2 linked regions of the Ovis aries genome follow. The protein of the gene in region 1 purifies or fractionates together with the protein of each later gene. This does not show direct contact. Links are inferred from orthologs where the notes say so. Each region holds a gene or a part of one and is shown in the gene's direction. Other genes may lie near its edges. The genes, in order: VAMP5 and STX12.

Evidence for each region.
Region 2: the proteins of VAMP5 (region 1) and STX12 purify together in Homo sapiens (affinity purification with mass spectrometry; 3 studies listed by BioGRID and IntAct, with this or other methods). This does not show direct contact. The link is inferred for Ovis aries from reciprocal best matches to the Homo sapiens genes VAMP5 and STX12.

Annotation. Positions count from the first base shown.
Region 1 is NC_056056.1:57,427,895-57,432,434, forward strand, and holds the start of VAMP5 (vesicle-associated membrane protein 5), read left to right. Parts: upstream 1-1,452; 5' UTR 1,453-1,496; intron 1,497-4,540. UniProt on the Homo sapiens protein: May participate in trafficking events that are associated with myogenesis, such as myoblast fusion and/or GLUT4 trafficking.
Region 2 is NC_056055.1:239,290,501-239,294,309, reverse strand, and holds part of STX12 (syntaxin-12), read left to right. Parts: intron 1-100; coding exon 101-206; intron 207-3,809. UniProt on the Homo sapiens protein: SNARE promoting fusion of transport vesicles with target membranes. Together with SNARE STX6, promotes movement of vesicles from endosomes to the cell membrane, and may therefore function in the endocytic recycling pathway.

The DNA of each region.
Region 1 (4,540 bases):
TCCAGTGCATCTTAGTTTGGGGGGAGGTTCTTGTCATCTCTCTGCCCTGTCTGGGGGAAGAAGTCTGGAAGGGGCGGGGTTGGGAGACAGGACTGGGGACTAGTACTGGCCAATCCAGTTCTAGAAGCATACTCTGAAAACTAGGAAGGGAGGAAAGCACTGAAGAGCCCTTGGGGGGGGTCACTCTTGGTCACCATCATGTCCATCCTCTCCCTGCTCGGTCCACTCCTAGACTCAAAGTCCAAGCAACTGGGGTGAGTGGGACCTAGACCTTCCAGGGTGAGGGTGGGGTCTGTGCTCACAGGGGCCTCAACCTGGGAGAGGGAAGTCAACACCCTCTTCCTCAAGAGGGGCCACATTTGAGATGTTGGGTTGGTACGAGACCAGGTAGAGAACTGGTTGGTGTTGGCTTCTGTGCAGCAGTGAAAGGAGAGGGTGAAGATGGACAGATTCAGCTCAGGAAGGCTCTGGACAGACAGACACACCAGCCTCCCTCATCTTCCAACTGAGGAAGCTGGTCCTATCAGGGCAGGGCTGCCATGGCCCATGCGGTGAAGAGGAAATAAAGAAAAAGCTAGGGCTAGCACCTTCCCCACTGGAGTCTGTCTTATTGAGGTGAAATTCACAAAACATACAATCAACCCTTTTCAAATGTACAATCTGAGCTTGCCTGGTGGTTCAGATGGTAAAGAGTTTGCCTGCAATGCAGGAAACCTGGGTTTGATCAGTGGTCAGGAAGATCCCCTGGAGAAAGGAATAGCTAACCACTCTGGTATTCTGGCCTGGAGAATCCCACAGACAAAGGAGCTTCGTGAGCTACAGTCCATGGGGTCGCAAAGAATCAGACACAGACTGTGTAACTATCACACACACAAATGTACAATCCAGTGTCAGGCAGTGCATTCATGATATTTATTGTGAATAAACTTTATTCAGTTTCAGAACTTTGGAGGGGTGGGGGTCGGTTTTTGGTTATGGGTGAGTTGCAGCAACACTGGCCAGGCTCTTCACTGCGTCTGCAGTCCCCTAGCGCAGCGCGGGACAATGGCGCTCCGTCGAGCGCCTGCCTGTTGAATGAACAAATGATGCCTGTCCAGATGAACTCCAGGTGAACTCGTCTGCCTGATTTGGATGCAGTTCCAGAGAGGATCCGCTGAGCCCGCGTTCGCGAGCCCACTCCACTGCGACTGTTTCATACACAGGACTCCTGAGGTGTAGATCTGGCACCAAGCTGATTAGGTGGAGACCCCACTTCACGAGGCTGGGGAATCCTCCCGAGCCGGGCGCCGCCAGCACCGCGAGAGGCGCTGTGTCCGGATCCCGGGAGCCATCGCCGGCAGCTTTCGATTTGGCCGGGTTTCGGTTGCTGCTCAGAGGAGACGCGCCCCCCGCCCGCTCCGGGCAGGCCCCGCCCCGCCCTCCGCTTCCTCCCGGGCCCCTGGCACTGCGGCCACTCGGGCAGAAGAGCCGGAGCGGGCGAGGCGGTTGCGGCGATGGTGAGGGCCCGGAGCGGGGCAGGGGGCAGAGGGAGAGCGTGGGGGTGCTGGGCGGCAGTCCGAAGTCCAAGGGCGGGGGCATCCTTCGCGACCCACGCCCGTTCCCCGGCGAGGTGACGACGGCCGGCCCGGAGCCTGGACCCGTCCGGACCCTTCGCTCCCCGCGCGCATCCCGGGAGGGAAAGTACGGAACTTGCCGGTCCTGGCTGCCCCTCGCCCTGTGAGTGAGCGGGACTTGCCGGAGCCGAGCAGTTACGCACCGGCTTTCTTCGGAGTGAGACTCTGTGCTGAGGTCCTGGTGGCGGCCACTTAGACGCTCTGTGACCCCGGGGCAAGTCACTTAGCCTCCCCGAACCTCCTTTTCCGCATGGTGAAGTGGGGTCAGCAGTACCTGCCTGGCTGGGTCCTTAGGAGGTTGAAGGAGATACAATGGCAGAGATCTGTCTGGCGCTCAGAACCTGCTTCTGAGAAGTGGTGGGTAATATGATGACCTCTGCAGCCCTTCCTGGGGCGGTGAGGAGCCAAGTCTGGCCCAGGAGTTGGAAACCTGAGCAGATGGGGTGGTAGAGGCCAGGCCAGCCCTGTGACAGGGTGTTGGAGGGCAAACTCCTTCTCCTGGGGAAAGAGAAAGGAAGATGTTTACAATAAAATTTCCACTGAAGTTATCAGTGGGGCATAGCTTGACTCCCGTCTAAGCCTTACCTAAGGACACATTCTTGAGTTGAGTCATCCCCTACTCCGTGCTGTAGACTCTGGCCTCTGTCCCTGCTTGTCATTTCCAAGGCAAAGGTGTTAGAAGCAGGTGGTGTCAGTCGCTTCTCCCCTTCCCTGGAACTCAGGGGAAGTTGTGTCCAGCAGGAAGCAGGCTCAGCGCTTTAAAATTCTGCCATGCAGGGACTTCCCTGGTGGTCCAGCAGTTACGACTCTGACCTCCCAATGCAGGGGGCATAGATTCGATCCCTGGTCAAGGAACTAAGATCCTTGCATGGTGCAGCCAAAAAAAAAAAAAGATCCTGCCATGGAGAAGCAGCAGAGGTGTGATGGATGTGGTCTGGCTAGGGGTTGAGATGCCAAGATGGCCTCATCTCCAGGGAACTGGAGGCAGGAAGAGGAAGCCGGGCAGGAAGGTAGCGATGAGCTCTAAGGCTGGGCCAGGAAACCGAGGGAGGCCTGGAGAATGGGGTAGAGCCTGGAGCCCATTTTCCAGCATGCAGAGCAAGAAATCAGGCAGGGTTAGGATGGGCTTGCAGCTGGCCCTTAGTACTTGGTGAGAAGAGGAAACTCCTGAAATGAAGGCTGAGGATGGGATCATTTATTGGGGAGTACTGGAAAACTCTGGGACTCTCACAGGTTCATCTCAGGCAAATAGTGGATCTGAGCCTGAGATTTGATCTCTCTCCCAACCATCTCCTGGCCCCTTCCTGTCTGTGTTTTCTCTCACTCCTGCCCCTTTGTCCACCCCTAGCATTTTCCCTTTCTTCTTCCCATCTGGTCCTTCCCTACCTGGTCCTTCTTCTTCTTCTTCTTTTTTTAAAATGTTTATTTATTTATTTTCGCTGCTCTGGGTCTTTGTTGCTGTGCTCAGGCTTTTCTTTAATTGGGGAGAGCAGGGGCTACTCTCTAGTTGTGGTGCACAGGCTTCTCATTGTGGTGGCTTCTTGTTGCGGAGCACAGGCTCTAGGGTGTGTGGGGTTCAGTAGTTGTGGTGCATGGGCTTGGTTGCTCTGAGGCATGAGGAATCCTCCCAGAGCAGGGACTGAATCCGTGTCTCAACCACTGGACCACTAGGGAAGTCCTTTTCTTTGCTGATTCATTCAGTTAACAAGGGTTTGTTGGGCATTTCCTTTGCTAGTCATGGTGATGGGTACAGGGAATAGGGTAGGAACAAAATACTGATGGGAAAGGCAGAAACTGAGTGGGGAATGACTTGATTTATTCATCTTGTAGATGGTCCTCACTTATGCACTGTGCAAACCATTTGGGTTTTTGAGCCACAGGCCTTCCTCATTTGCACATAAATTGAGTTGGCAGCATCAAAAGGTCTGGTGGGTCTTTAGCCAGTCAGCTAAAGCATTTGACCTCCCTTTAGCACCATCCAGTTTAACACAGGGGTTAAGAATGTGATCCTTGAAGACTAAGTCGGTTCAGGTCCCAGATTTTCTGTTCACTGACTCTGTGACCTTGGCTGGGTGATTTAACCCCTCTGAGCCTCGGTTTCTTATAAAACTGAGATAAAGGTACTTTTCTCAGTGTATTGTTGTGAGGCTTTAATGAGATAAATTTGAGCAGTCAGCTAGCAGCTCAGTGCTTAGCTCAGAGTATGTGCCCATTGATTGGGAGCTTTTATTACTGTCAAGATGTAAAACATTCTCAACAGCCTGCAAGGCCTGATGGAAATGCACTAGATGTAAGTTATCAAAGGCCCATGTCAAGTTCTATATATAGGTTAGAGACAATTATGTGCACAAGTTGGCCATAGGGAAGAGCTTGCTTGGCTGTGTATTTTGTAAAAATATTTGAGTTTTATTTAAAAATGTTTTTTAGATTCATTTATTTATTATTTTATTATTTATTAAAAAAACTTTTTTTGAGCATGGTGGGTCTTTGTTGCTTCACGCAGGCTACTTTCTGGTTGCGGCGCGCGGGCTTCTCATTGTGGTGGCTTCTCTAGGCGTGTGGGCTTCAGTAGTTGTGGCTAAGAGGATTTATTAACCACAAGTATTGTGTGGTTCCTGGGATCTGACAGCTTAAAAAAAATACTAGGGAAAATTGGGCTATAGCAATATATGAAGTGTTAGTCCCTCAGCTGTGTCTGACTCCTTGAGACCCTATGGACTATATCCCACCAGGCTCCTCTGTCATGGAATTCTTCAGGTAAGAATACTGGAGTGGGTTGCCATTCCCTTCTCCAGGAGATCTTATAGCAATAATAATGGCTGTTATTTATTGAGCATTCAGGAATTGTGCTAGGCATTTTATTTCTCATACATCACATGCCTTAGCTAATGTGGGAGATGTTACCACTTTATAGATGAGAAAGTGGA
Region 2 (3,809 bases), on another chromosome or scaffold:
CTGGTACCGTCTTTGGACAGGCTCTGCTGACAGCAGAGATGATATGTCTTAGGTACACCTTTGCGGGGAGGAATCAGCCCATGTGCTTGTCTCCCTGCAGCCATGAGGAGTGGAACCAGATGCAGAGACAGGAGGATGAGGTGGCCATCACCGAACAGGACCTGGAGCTTATTAAAGAGAGGGAGACAGCGATTCGGCAGCTGGAGGTGAGGGCCAGGTCATGTTTTTTGTTTGACTCAGTGTATCTGCAATCTGGTTTTTCTCTCATTGATTATGAAAAAGGATGAAATGAGTTGTACAGTTTGCATATTATGTGTCAGTGTAATCACGGTGAATTTGACCTACTCTTATGACCATATCAGGATTCCCTGGTACCTCAGCTGGTAAAGAATCCACTTGCAATGTAGGAGACCCTGGTTTGATTCCTGGGTTGGGAAGACCCGCTGGAGAAGGGATAGGCTACCCATTCCAGTACTCTTGGGCTTCACTGATGGCTCAGCTGGTAAAGAATCCATCTGCAATGCGGGAGACCTAGGTTCAATCCCTGGGTTGGGAAGATCCCCTGGAGAAGGGAACGGCTACCCATTCTAGTATTCTGGCCTGGAGAATCAGGCCACAAAGAGGATTCAGGGTCACAAAGAGTTGGACATGACTGAGCAACTTTCACACTTCACTAGGATGGTACTGGTCATGGTGCCTGAGGATACCTGGACCCCCTTTTCAGTCACCATATTTTATAAGGTCTCCATGAGAATACCCATGGAGAACAGAACAAGGCCAACAAATATTTTATTAAGACCTTGTCCCCAAACCTCAATGCCAGTCTCTAGGTTCGGTGGGGCTCTACGGAGAGCCCTTTGCTTAGTCTGAATAACCCAGAGTAAAGATAGGCCAAAAAGTTTGCTCCATTTTTGCGCATCTGAAAGTCCAATCACAAATTGTGGATATCCCATCTGTGAGTCAGAGAAACAGGAACAATTTTTGAGGTGAGGGTTGAGAGAGAAGTCTCAAGGCCTTTCTTACCTGAGTTTCCAACTTTAATTTTTTGCATGATGACCAGTAAAATATCCTTAAACCTGAGTACTTTTCTCCATGGAGATGGAAGACTGCCATCTTGGGGACAGTGGGGGGAGGAGGGTTGTAGAGAGGAGAAACTTTGATCTCCTCCTTGACCTTCATCTGTGGCAGTGGTTCTGAACCCTGACTGTACTTTTAGAATCACTTGGAGATTTTTTTTTTTAATGCCCCACCTCTTCTCATCCCCGCACCAATTACTAGTTTGAACTGCATGTGATTTTCTTATTTTTTTGTAGGTTAAAAATGGACAAACATCCACAGGAAGCCCTGGGTGAGGGCATTTTTTATCTTACAAACTTCCCAGGTGATTACAAAGTGCAGTCAAGGTTGAGACACATTTCCCTAGAGCCCTCTGTTTTTTTCTCTTGATACTTCTTCTTTTTTTTTTTTTTTTATTGAAGGATAATTGCTTTACAGAATTTTGTTGTTGCCCTCTGTTTTTTGATGAAACAGTTCATCCTTGTGCTCGTACTTGTGCTTTGTGACCCCATGGACCGTAGCCTGCCAGACTCCTCTGTCCAAGGGAATCTCCAAGCAAGAATCCTGGAGTGGGTTGCCATTTCCTACTCTATGGGATCTTCCCAACCCAGGGATTGAACACATACCTCCTGTGTCTCCTGGATTACAGGTGGATTCTTTACCGGCTGAGCCATCAGGGAAAGCCAGAAGTTTGACTTCAAAGATGTCATGTGTTTTCTTTTTCATCTATTGCTACTAATCATCTAATTGATTCTTTCACATGAGAAATCCCATTCAGCCGAGAGTAGAATGAGATGTGTGGAGCTGAGGAGAGGAGTGTCATGGGCACTTCACGTTCAACAGAATCAAGGTCTAATTCCTTAGCTGTTGCACTTTCGTGTCCAGTCATTTCCTGCATCTAACATGCAAACCCTGCTCTAACAGTGCAGCAACACACTCCGGTGTGCTTCTCTTCTACTCCCACTCTATCCTTCCCACACTCTGGTCACCAAATATGTGTTTTTGCCCCCCACATCAAGCAATTCTGCCACATCATCAAGATACGCTACAGTGCAACTTAGTTCTAATACTGTCTTCCTGGAGTTAGCCTCAGATCCCACAGATTGAAGGTTCAGTCCCACAAGACTGACCCCCGTTTCTGCGACTTCAGGTGCCAGTCGCAAATCCAGGTTGTCACCTGTGCTTCTGACCAACAGGTTGGAAATTGGAAGTTCTCATGATCCCCTCCTTGGGTTTGATTAATTAGCTGGAGCAGCTCACAGAACTCAAGAAAACAGTTTACTCATTAGGTTACTGGTTTATTATAAGAGGATACAGCTCAGGAAGAGCCAGACGGAAGAGATGCATAGGGCAAAGTATATGGCCAGGGGTACATGGCTTCCATGGGGCTTCTCCGGTGGTGCAGTGGCAAAGAATCTGCCTGCAGTGCAGGAGATTCAGGAGACATGGGTTCTATCCCTGGGTCAGGAAGATCCTCTGGAGGAGGACATGGCAACCCACTCCAGTATTCTTGCCTGGAGAATCCCATGCACAGAGGAGCCTGATGGGCTATAGTCCATAGGGTTGCAAAGAGTCAGACATGACTGAAATGATTGAGCATGCACGCATGCATGGCTTCCATGCCTTCTCCAGGCCTACTACACTCCCCATATCTCCATGTGTTCACTAACCAAGAAGCTCTCTGAACTTCTGGTTACATGAGCATGATTAATTAAATAATTGGCCTTTGGTGATTGATCTAACCTTGAGCCCTCCACCCCTCCCCAGAGGTTGGAATTGGGGCTGAAAGTTCCAATCAACTAAACACCAGGTTGGTTCCCCTGGCAACTAGTCCCCATCCTTAGGGGTTTTTACAAAAGCCAAGCTATTAACATACTTAGGAGTGGTTGAAAGGGTTTGTTTTGAATTAAAAAGGACATCTTTATCTCTTTTATCACTTAGAAAAAAATTTTAGGAGCTCTGTGCTCCGGTTGAGACAAAGATCAAATACATATTTCTTATTATGAATCATAATATCACATCCACGTTATAGCCAAACTGGGCTGTTTGTTCTATGTATATGGCTTCTTAAGTCCTGCCTCTTCTGCCATAGTCTTCCTTCTCTGCTTGAGGTAAATGCTATACCACTTATTAGTCATTTACCATATAATACCCTTTCTTTTAAGTGCTGCACTCAATAATGTCAGCAAATTTGGAAAACTCAGCAGTGGCCACAGGACTGGAAAAGGTCAGTTTTCATTCCAATCCCAAAGAAAGGCAATGCCAAAGAATGCTCAAACCACCGCACAATTGCACTCATCTCACATTCTAATAAAGTAATGCTCAAAACTCTCCAAGCCAGGCTTCAGCAATACGTGAACCGTGAACTTCCTGATGTTCAAGCTGGTTTTAAAAAAGGCAGAGGAACCAGAGATCAAATTGCCAACATCTGCTGGATCATTGAAAAAGCAAGAGAGTTCCAGAAAAACATCTATTTCTGCTTTATTGTGGAGAAGGCAGTGGTACCCCACTCCAGTACTCTTGTCTGGAAAATCCCATGGACGGAGGAGCCTGGTAGGCTGCAGTCCATGGGGTCACTAAGAGTCAGACACGACTGAGCGACTTCATTTTCACTTTTCACTTTCACTTTTCACTTTCACTTTTCACTTTCATGCATTGGAGAAGGAAATGGCAACCTACTCCAGTGTTCTTGCCTGGAGAATCCCAGGGACAGGGGAGCCTGGTGGGTTGCTGTCTATGGGGTCGCACAGAGT